2 linked regions of the Canis lupus familiaris genome follow. The protein of the gene in region 2 interacts with the protein of the main gene of each other region in a pairwise test. Links are inferred from orthologs where the notes say so. Each region holds a gene or a part of one and is shown on either strand. Other genes may lie near its edges. The genes, in order: SPINK7 and RABL6.

What was found.
Region 1: the proteins of RABL6 (region 2) and SPINK7 interact in binary tests that used the Homo sapiens proteins (3 or more experiments, as listed by UniProt). The link is inferred for Canis lupus familiaris from reciprocal best matches to the Homo sapiens genes RABL6 and SPINK7.

The regions. Positions count from the first base shown.
Region 1 is NC_049225.1:61,384,415-61,388,825, forward strand, and holds the start of SPINK7 (serine protease inhibitor Kazal-type 7), read right to left. Parts: upstream 2,940-4,411; 5' UTR 2,144-2,939; coding exon 2,005-2,143; intron 1,108-2,004; coding exon 1,082-1,107; intron 351-1,081; coding exon 226-350; intron 1-225. UniProt on the Homo sapiens protein: Probable serine protease inhibitor.
Region 2 is NC_049230.1:48,754,109-48,757,923, forward strand, and holds part of RABL6 (rab-like protein 6), read right to left. Parts: intron 3,134-3,815; coding exon 3,086-3,133; intron 1,712-3,085; coding exon 1,659-1,711; intron 1,031-1,658; coding exon 939-1,030; intron 1-938. UniProt on the Homo sapiens protein: May enhance cellular proliferation. May reduce growth inhibitory activity of CDKN2A.

The sequences.
Region 1 (4,411 bases), on a different chromosome or scaffold from region 2:
CCTCAATTGAGATAGAAATTGGCAGTTGGGTGATGGATGGAACTAGTTAAAGCTGGTAGAGCAGGAAAACCTAGCCTGACTGTGAGACAGTTTTCTCTCTCTACCAGCTGCTTCTGGGTGGGAATAAGCACAGCTCATGGAAAGTGAAATGGGCTCATAGAAAGAAGAGAGTTTTGCAGTGGAGGACACTGGCCGCAACTTATTTATTTTCTATGAGGTACTCACAAGTTCTCAATGCACAGGTGACATTCATTCCCATAGGTAATGTAGTCAGAACCACAAACAGGCAGGTATGTGATGGGGCAGGGGATGGCCACCACTGGGTACTTCTTGTAAATACTGCAGTCCACCTGCAACAGGCACAAGAGAATGTCCTAGGGTCTCCTGGCCCCCAAGATAGGCTACACTGGTCTCTGTTGGGCAGGAAGCAAAATACCATCCTAGGAGTCCCAGATCAGATATTCTGAGGCTGCTGTGCCTATTTCTACTACTACTAATATTATTGCCATGCTAAATACTAGTACTGCTGTCCACACTTCTGTTACTACTAGCACATTCTATTAATTCCTGAGCGTTTCCATGCTAGGCATTAAGCTTAAATTATATGTGAATTTTCTTTGTTTAACCTTCATAACAATGGAATAGGATAGGTCCTACTATTACGCCTACTTATAGATGGTGGGAATTAAGGCTTTAAAACAGAGAACATGCATAATGTAAAAGCTAGTCAGTGATGGGTCTGGGATTGGAATCTAGAGCCTGTGCAATTAACCAAGGTAACTCTGTTCTGCCTCTCATGTTGTCCTTTCCATGAAGACTTTGCCAACCTCTCAGCTGGAAGTCATCTCTCTCTCCTTTAACTTGGGATTTTTTTTTTTAACTCTATGATTACTTATATGTATGTCATGTTTCTTCAGCTGCCTTCTGGAAAGCAGAGGAGAATTTTTAATCTGTGTCTGTCTCCCTCTTAACCCCCTCCCCAAACACACTGAATTAATTCTGCATGTAAATTTCAAAAGCATTTGTTGACTAAATGCCAGTCAATAGGAATTGAAATTAAAATGTAATTCAATATACTCACTGTGGTTAAAGGCAGACTAGCAGCTTCTGAAAGAGAGTTATGGATAGAAATATTAAAAATAAAGCAAGGTCTCAAAGTCTCATTGGTTAAATAAATTTGGGCCTATAGATTAAGACTCTGTATTTGCTCTGGTGATGAATCTTAGCACACACTCTGTTCTTATATAAAACTCTGTTTGATGAAGAAGCCAAATGGCCAGTAATGTAAGCCTTTTATTTAGGCAGGAGAATTAACTACAGTTTCCTCCCTTTATTGACTATGGGACATTTTCTGGAGCTTGTGTCTTTGATAATGATTCAGAGTCAGATAGCAATAAAAAGTATTGCAGTCACCCCTCCTAAGAGCCTGAAGTGCCGCCATCTTTGATATTTCCCCCTCTGAATTGATGTAAAAAATGTAACGCAATGTTAAGGTGTTACAATATTAATTTATTGAAACCATTTTCACCATATAAAGACTTATAAAAGTCTAATTGTTGACTCCTGGGCTTTGGAGATTTGTGTTTCATTTTGATTCTCCTGAATTGATTTGGAGAGACATCCACGGTTTTCTGTGTCATTGCACTGAGGGATAGTATCTAATAACACCAGCTGCTTCCAGTGTCCTTATGAAATGGTAGACTTATGAAGACATCAGTTCTTTTATTTTCCTATGGCTCCATGGATGAAAATAAAAATCCTTGAAAGGGAAGACACTGGATCCAAACTCCCAAACACCTGTTGGCACATAAGAATCTCCCTTCCCTTTCAGAAAAAAAAAAAAAAAAAAAAAAAGAATTTCCCATCCCAGGCCAGGACTGTTTGTATTATAAGCCAGTACACTTTAAATCCACATGATCAGACATTTCCCTCCAATGCTTAGAAAGGGTTATTTGGGAAGACAAGTTCAATGGCCACACAGGGCACTCTCTGCCTTTAACTCACCTGAGCTGCTGAAGAAATGAGTTGCTGCACAGAGCAGAAGAAGCCCCCCAGTGACCTTCATGGTGGAGATGGCTATGATACAGAGGCTCTCAGGGCTGTCACACCAGCTTTGTGAACCATATCCTAGGAAAGGGGTCATGTTTATATGCCACTGCTTGGTTTCTCCACCTTTCCTGTGAGGTCACCCAGAGTCAGTGTTGGCTCTGAAAAGCTCTCAAAACACAATGTCACACCCTGGGTGGTGTTGAGGTTCTTGTCACTTAATTGCTACTTATTATCTGAACGACAAATTGATTATTTGAGGTGAGAAGTATTTTTCTGCCTGCACCAGAGGGGGGGACTGTTATTTAGAATTCTCAACTTCATATAGTGAAAGAAATTAAGTATAGGCTGCTTGGTCTAGTTATGAAATAAGTAAAAACATCAAACATTTTTCACCAAATAAAGAATATTAGACTCAGATTAGACAGATCACACTTAGGTTTATATTCTGCCTCCAGGGGAAATACTGTTTATTTTTGAAGCAATGAACTATGAAGCAAGCTGAGACCTGGTGGGAGGAACAGTGACCTCAGCGCTGATGAGGCTTAGAGGAGGACATTGACATTTTGTGGCCGTGTGACCTTGGGTAAGTCAACTATGTGCCATGAGCCTGTATCAGTCAGAAAGACCTGATTATTCTCTGCTAACATACAACCTCAGAATTTCTGTATCTTAATATATGTTTACCTTGTACTCAAGCTATCCACAGACAGTTGTCAGCAGATGGTGTCATATTGCCTTCAATGGATCCCAAGTGAGTCGAGTAGTTTTGTATGTCATTCATTGTCAAGGTGAAGTGAAGATGTGTTCTTGAGGATTTCCATTTTCAGCAATTATTTATTCCCCTCAGAAGTGACACTACAGGGGCACCTGGGTAGCTCAGTGGTTGAGCATCTGCCTTTGGCTCAGGTCGTGATCCCAGGGTCCTGGGATCGAGTCCTGCATCAGGCTTCTCACGGGGAGCCTGCTTCTCCCTCTGCCTATGTCTCTGCTTCTCTCTGTGTATCTCTCATGAATACATAAATAAAATCTTTAGAAAAAAAAAGAAGTGACACTGCTGTCACTTTCCCTCACCAGCAAGTGACCTGGCTCAATCATCGAGGTTACAGTGTGATCTTATTTTATCCCTTGAAGATGAGAAGGGAGAGAACTGGAAAACAGTTGGCAAACAATACAAAGACCACCCTAGAGCCTTGGTTTCATGCCCTATCAAGTGAGGCCTGCTGATAACCCCAATAGAATTTACTGAACTGGAGTCATGTACATGAAAATCTGTTCTAAAAAATGCGGTGCATGTAATTGTTATTATAATTATTATTAATGATCAGTCATAGGTCTCTGCTATGGGTTGCTGACATGAGATTGTAAATTGGATTGTCCAAATACAATTGTCTAAATAGCTGTGTTTTCCCTGTTGGGCTTGAGAGCATATGTATAAAAACCTGTAGGAGGGTGGTAGACTCTGTTCGACCAGTCTTTTGCTTGATGGGTTTATTTCAGTGCATTCTGAAACACAGCATCTGCAAAGATAATAAGCTAGTAATAAATGACATTGCATGGCTCCCTAAAATTTTGACTTTTACATCTGTTTGGAAAGGAATATAATGTAGTAGTTAATATGGGTAATTAGTCCAGAAGGTCTTTTTAGGAGTCTTGCTTTTACTAATTGTTAACTGTGAGACTTTAAATATACAGATTAAGCTCTGGATGTTTTAATTTCCTCATCTGTAAAATAGAAATAATATTCACCTCCCAGAATGACTTTGAGTATTGAATGAGGTTATATATATTTTTTCTTGTGTGTGTATGTGTGTGTGTATCAGAGTGCCAAGATCATAATTAGAGTTTCATGTATGGTAGCTAGAATATGGAATGTGATCTTCAGGACAACTCATTGAGGAAGGAATTTTATTACCCTAATTTTACCAGTGAGTAAGTTGAGACTCAGAGGATTTAAGTAATCTTCACAAGATCATGATACTAATTAATAGGGGAGACTATGTGGAGTTTGGTTGTGGAAAAGAAGAGAAGTGAATGCCATAATAAAGACACTTCATTATAAGTTTTATTGTTTGCTATGATAGTTTGAAGACAATTAATTCTGAGAAAAAGCCATTATGTTTCAAGAAGAGGTGTCTTTGTTGCAGTTAGAAAATGTATTTAGCAAAGAGGAATGGGAATGGGTTCAAAGGGAGATTAGGATGAGGTAGAGAATAGCATTATAATTTTTTCAGACATTTGACAGTCAAAGAGAGGAGGGAAATGAAAGAAGCTAAGGCTTTAGCAAGGTCTAGGATAGGCTGAAACTGTCTTACAACAAAACAGAACTAGAAAGAATTTGACATACATGGTGGAGGATGGCTAA
Region 2 (3,815 bases):
AGGAAAACCTGGCTGGCTCCCACCAAACGACACCCGTGCCAGCTTCTGATGGCAGGATCAATTTTGCTACGGTGAATGTGGACTACATATGCAATAATAAAAAAAACCCTTTAAAAACAGACTGAAAATGGGAAAATGGAGTAGAGGCCCACAGGCCATTTCTAAATCAGGCTTCTGTCAGTTCCTCCTTCAGCATCTTTGAAGACATTCATTTCTGGCAGCAGGCCTGAGGCCGTGGTTCCTGGAAAGGCCTGCGGGGGAGGCTGGTCCCCACTGGTATAGGGCCTCCACTCCTGGTGGTCTCAGCCAGCAGCTACCTGGCCAGAGCAACACCCCTACACCTGCATACTGTGCTTCTGCTTGGGCGGGGGGGGCGGGGGAACACTGGCGCCAGGCAGGCCTGGGGAATCAAGTGTGTCCCATCTCTTCCCTGGCAGACCCCACTTGACACATGTCATGTTGCCCACGTGACTCCATGAGGAGGGGCCCCTTGGGAGCTGGCACCTGGCCACCCCCATATTCACACCCCTGCGCCTTGACGTAGTCTTTCCCTGGGATCTTAGCTGAGTCCCCTTAGTCAAAGAACGTCAGAAGTGTCTTGGGGAGCCCCAAACAAGTGGCCGCTTGGTTCTGCATGGTACTTTCAGGAAGGGCCACAGGGCTGTGGAAGGTGTGCCCCCCGCTGCAGTGCTGTACCACCTCAGCCCGCCCTCCACACGTTCCCCGTCTGTGCTCATGGACCTCCCCAGAGATGGCCGAGCCTTGGCCTCCATGTGGCTGAACTGCTGGTGTGCACGATGCCCAAGAACAGCCTCTAATTGTGTGGCACCAGCAGTGACCAGCAGGCGTCACCACGACCTGACAGACCACTGGGGTGGCCATCCAAGTGGTGGAGTACTAGGAGCCTCGATGGGCATTTCCAGCCAGCGCCCCCTTACCACTGCTTGGTGATGTCGAACATCATGACCACCCCATTACAGTTCTTGTATACATCCAGGAACTCGGCATCCAGGGCCATCTCGGACTCCACCTGGGGACAGGACACAACTGGCATGAGAGACTGCTCTGGCCAGGCTCCCACAGCTGTGAGCCCTGTCTCCTGGGGAAGGCTGAAAAGGACTTGCACAACCCGAAAGATAACAGCCATTTTCATGTTGGAAAAAAACACGTGAATGAGACGATCTAGAGCTCAGGTCAGAAAACTTTGCCTAAAAGGGTCTAGCAGTAAACCATTCAGGTTCCAGGACCACATCAACTCTGCCCCTGATTCAGGGCCTTCTCCACTCACCAACCACATCCTACTTGTGAGCCTCACAAACTTCCCATCACTCAGAGGGCCAAGAGTGTACATTCCAGACCTGAGGAAAGCACTTGCAGAGAACCTTCTAGAGCACAGAGACAGGTGACTGCAGTGCTGGGGGCAGTAGCAAAGGGTCACACAGAGGGCCAGACAGACCTGGACCACGTAGGAGGGGCCTGGCAGGTGTCACCACCAGCAGCTCAGGCAAGCCCAGCCATCCCAAAATATACCAGTAGGCAACACAGGGTCCCATAAGGAGTGGGGCCAGCTGGTACCACTGAAATACCAGGGAGGGTCCCAACCCCCAACCTGGAGTGGTGGGCCCCATGGTGGCGGGGGGTGGGGGCAGCTTACCCACCTCCTGGGGATCATTCTCCACCTTCAAGCCATCACCTCGTCGTCTGCACTTCCCTTGTTAGGATGACAGACAAGGGTTACAGGGGGAATCATGGCCCCGGGGGTGGGGACACTTCTTCCCCCCGTCCTACCCACCAGCCCCCACCTCTGGTAGGTGCCACGTCCCCACAGCTGGCACTCAAGCAACCCCACTGGTGGCAGGAAGCGACCACAACCTCACTGAGACCTTGACAGCTGGAGCCGCTCTGTCCTAGCCAGGAAAGAGACCCTGATGGGTTGCTACAGTTTGGCCTAAACTGGAAGGTGCCGGCAGGTACAGTAGGGCTGCTCAGCAAGATGGCCCTAATGTCCCCCCCATTTCCTTCCCCGACTGATGGAGCGCCCAGCCCAGCCTCTCAGGTGCTGCCCTTGAGGCCAGGGATGCTCCCAGGCCTCCCAGGCTGGGCCCAGGCCCTGAGCACACCAGCAGCTGGCACAGCTCTAGGGGCTCCTGAGCCGTAAAGAGCTCCAGACCATCCTTGTCACCTCCCCTCTATCTCTGAGATACTTCTAAGGGAGAAGGAAGGGCTGTGTGTCACCCTGGGAATTCTAGGTCCCTCCATCTTAGGAATAGCCTGGGCTAAACTAAGAAAGCCCTTCCCTCCCCACACACTGGGTTTGTTTATTTAAAAACCTGCTACTGCTGGTCTCCACAGCTTCTTTCTGACCCTCTGGCCACCTTCAGAGCCCTGTGAGCACAGCGGGCATCCCGGGTCAGCAGGGGCTGGCCATGCGCACCCTCCTGGGTGCTGCTCTGGGGCCACAGGACAGTACCTCCAGCACCACCACGGGATCCCTGCTGTAGCCATCCTTGCGTGTGGTGGGTGGGCTTTGTGCCTCCCACAGGCAGAAGCAGGACATGTCAATGATCCCCAGGGTGGAAATGTGTCTCTGCTGCACCACAGGGCATTCCCACCACAGGGCATTCCCACCTCAGTGACAACATAACACGCTCACGGGAAGGGGCCCCGTCCCCCCAAGGGCTGGTGGCTTCGGAAGCCAGCAAGTTGGTTCTTGGCTCAGGGCCCGGGGACACTGCGCAGACAGTGCTGCAGGAAAGGCTCCTGGGACAGGCCCCACAGGCCCCTGGGTTTGGAACCCTCCTCCTCTGCCAGCCCCTGTGAGTCCCCCACTGCCAGGCGCTGTCTCAGTGGGTCAAACACGCATTTAAACAGCAAAGGCCATGGTCCTGACTGGTCACTGCTGTGCATCCGCCTCCTCTGCCCCAGATGCAGGAGGGAGTTGATCTAAGACCCAGAAACTAAAAGGAACAGCACAGACCCAGGCCTCTAACAGCCTCTGTGAGCGGCCCTTCTGTCGAGAGACCCAAGACACAACACGGAAGGAAGCGTCGGGAAAAAGTATTCATGATAAAAAGATACGACTCACCTTTGTCAACTACATCCCAGACTTCTACCTTGACGATGTCATCAGTGGCTAAAATGGGGGAAGACATGAAGATTAGGGTCCACCACCACCTTTGACCTTCTGGTCACACTCAGGCTCTTAGGGGCTGTCCAGGAGTTGCTGCGTACCACTCTTCCCCAGGTGGGTGAGGCTCCCCACCAGCACCGTCTCCAAGGACGCCTCACACCCACCCACGGCCTCTACACAAATGGCAGCCTCTCCCTCTCCCCGCCCCCGGAGGACAGCAAGGTGCATCACTGTTTTAGGCTTATGCTCAGGCTGCAGTGAATGGCCCTGGCCCATCCTCAGCTGACCTACCCTCCATTTCCTGCAGGTGTCCTTGGGACAGGCGGGTCCCCGGCCGGGTCTACACAGCCAGGGTACCCTGTGTAGGTGCACCCAGGGAGCAGGCTCTGGCCTGACTCTCATCAGTGACCAGCCTCGACTGTGTTCCAGTCTTTCTCAGAACTGCTTGTCTTTCTGTGCTTTTTCTTTACAGAAAGGAGACCCTTAGCCCTTCTTCAGTGATTCTCACCAGGGATGGACATCAGGACCCAGGGCCTGCGCTATGTCTCCTCGTGGTGGGTCTGAGTGCTAGGCTCATCCCTCCATCCTCAGGATTCTGAAGGTACAGGTGGGGAACTGCCATGCTCCTGTCCCTAAGCTGAGGGGCACAAGAGCACACTGGCACTACCAGCTTCACCTCAACTGG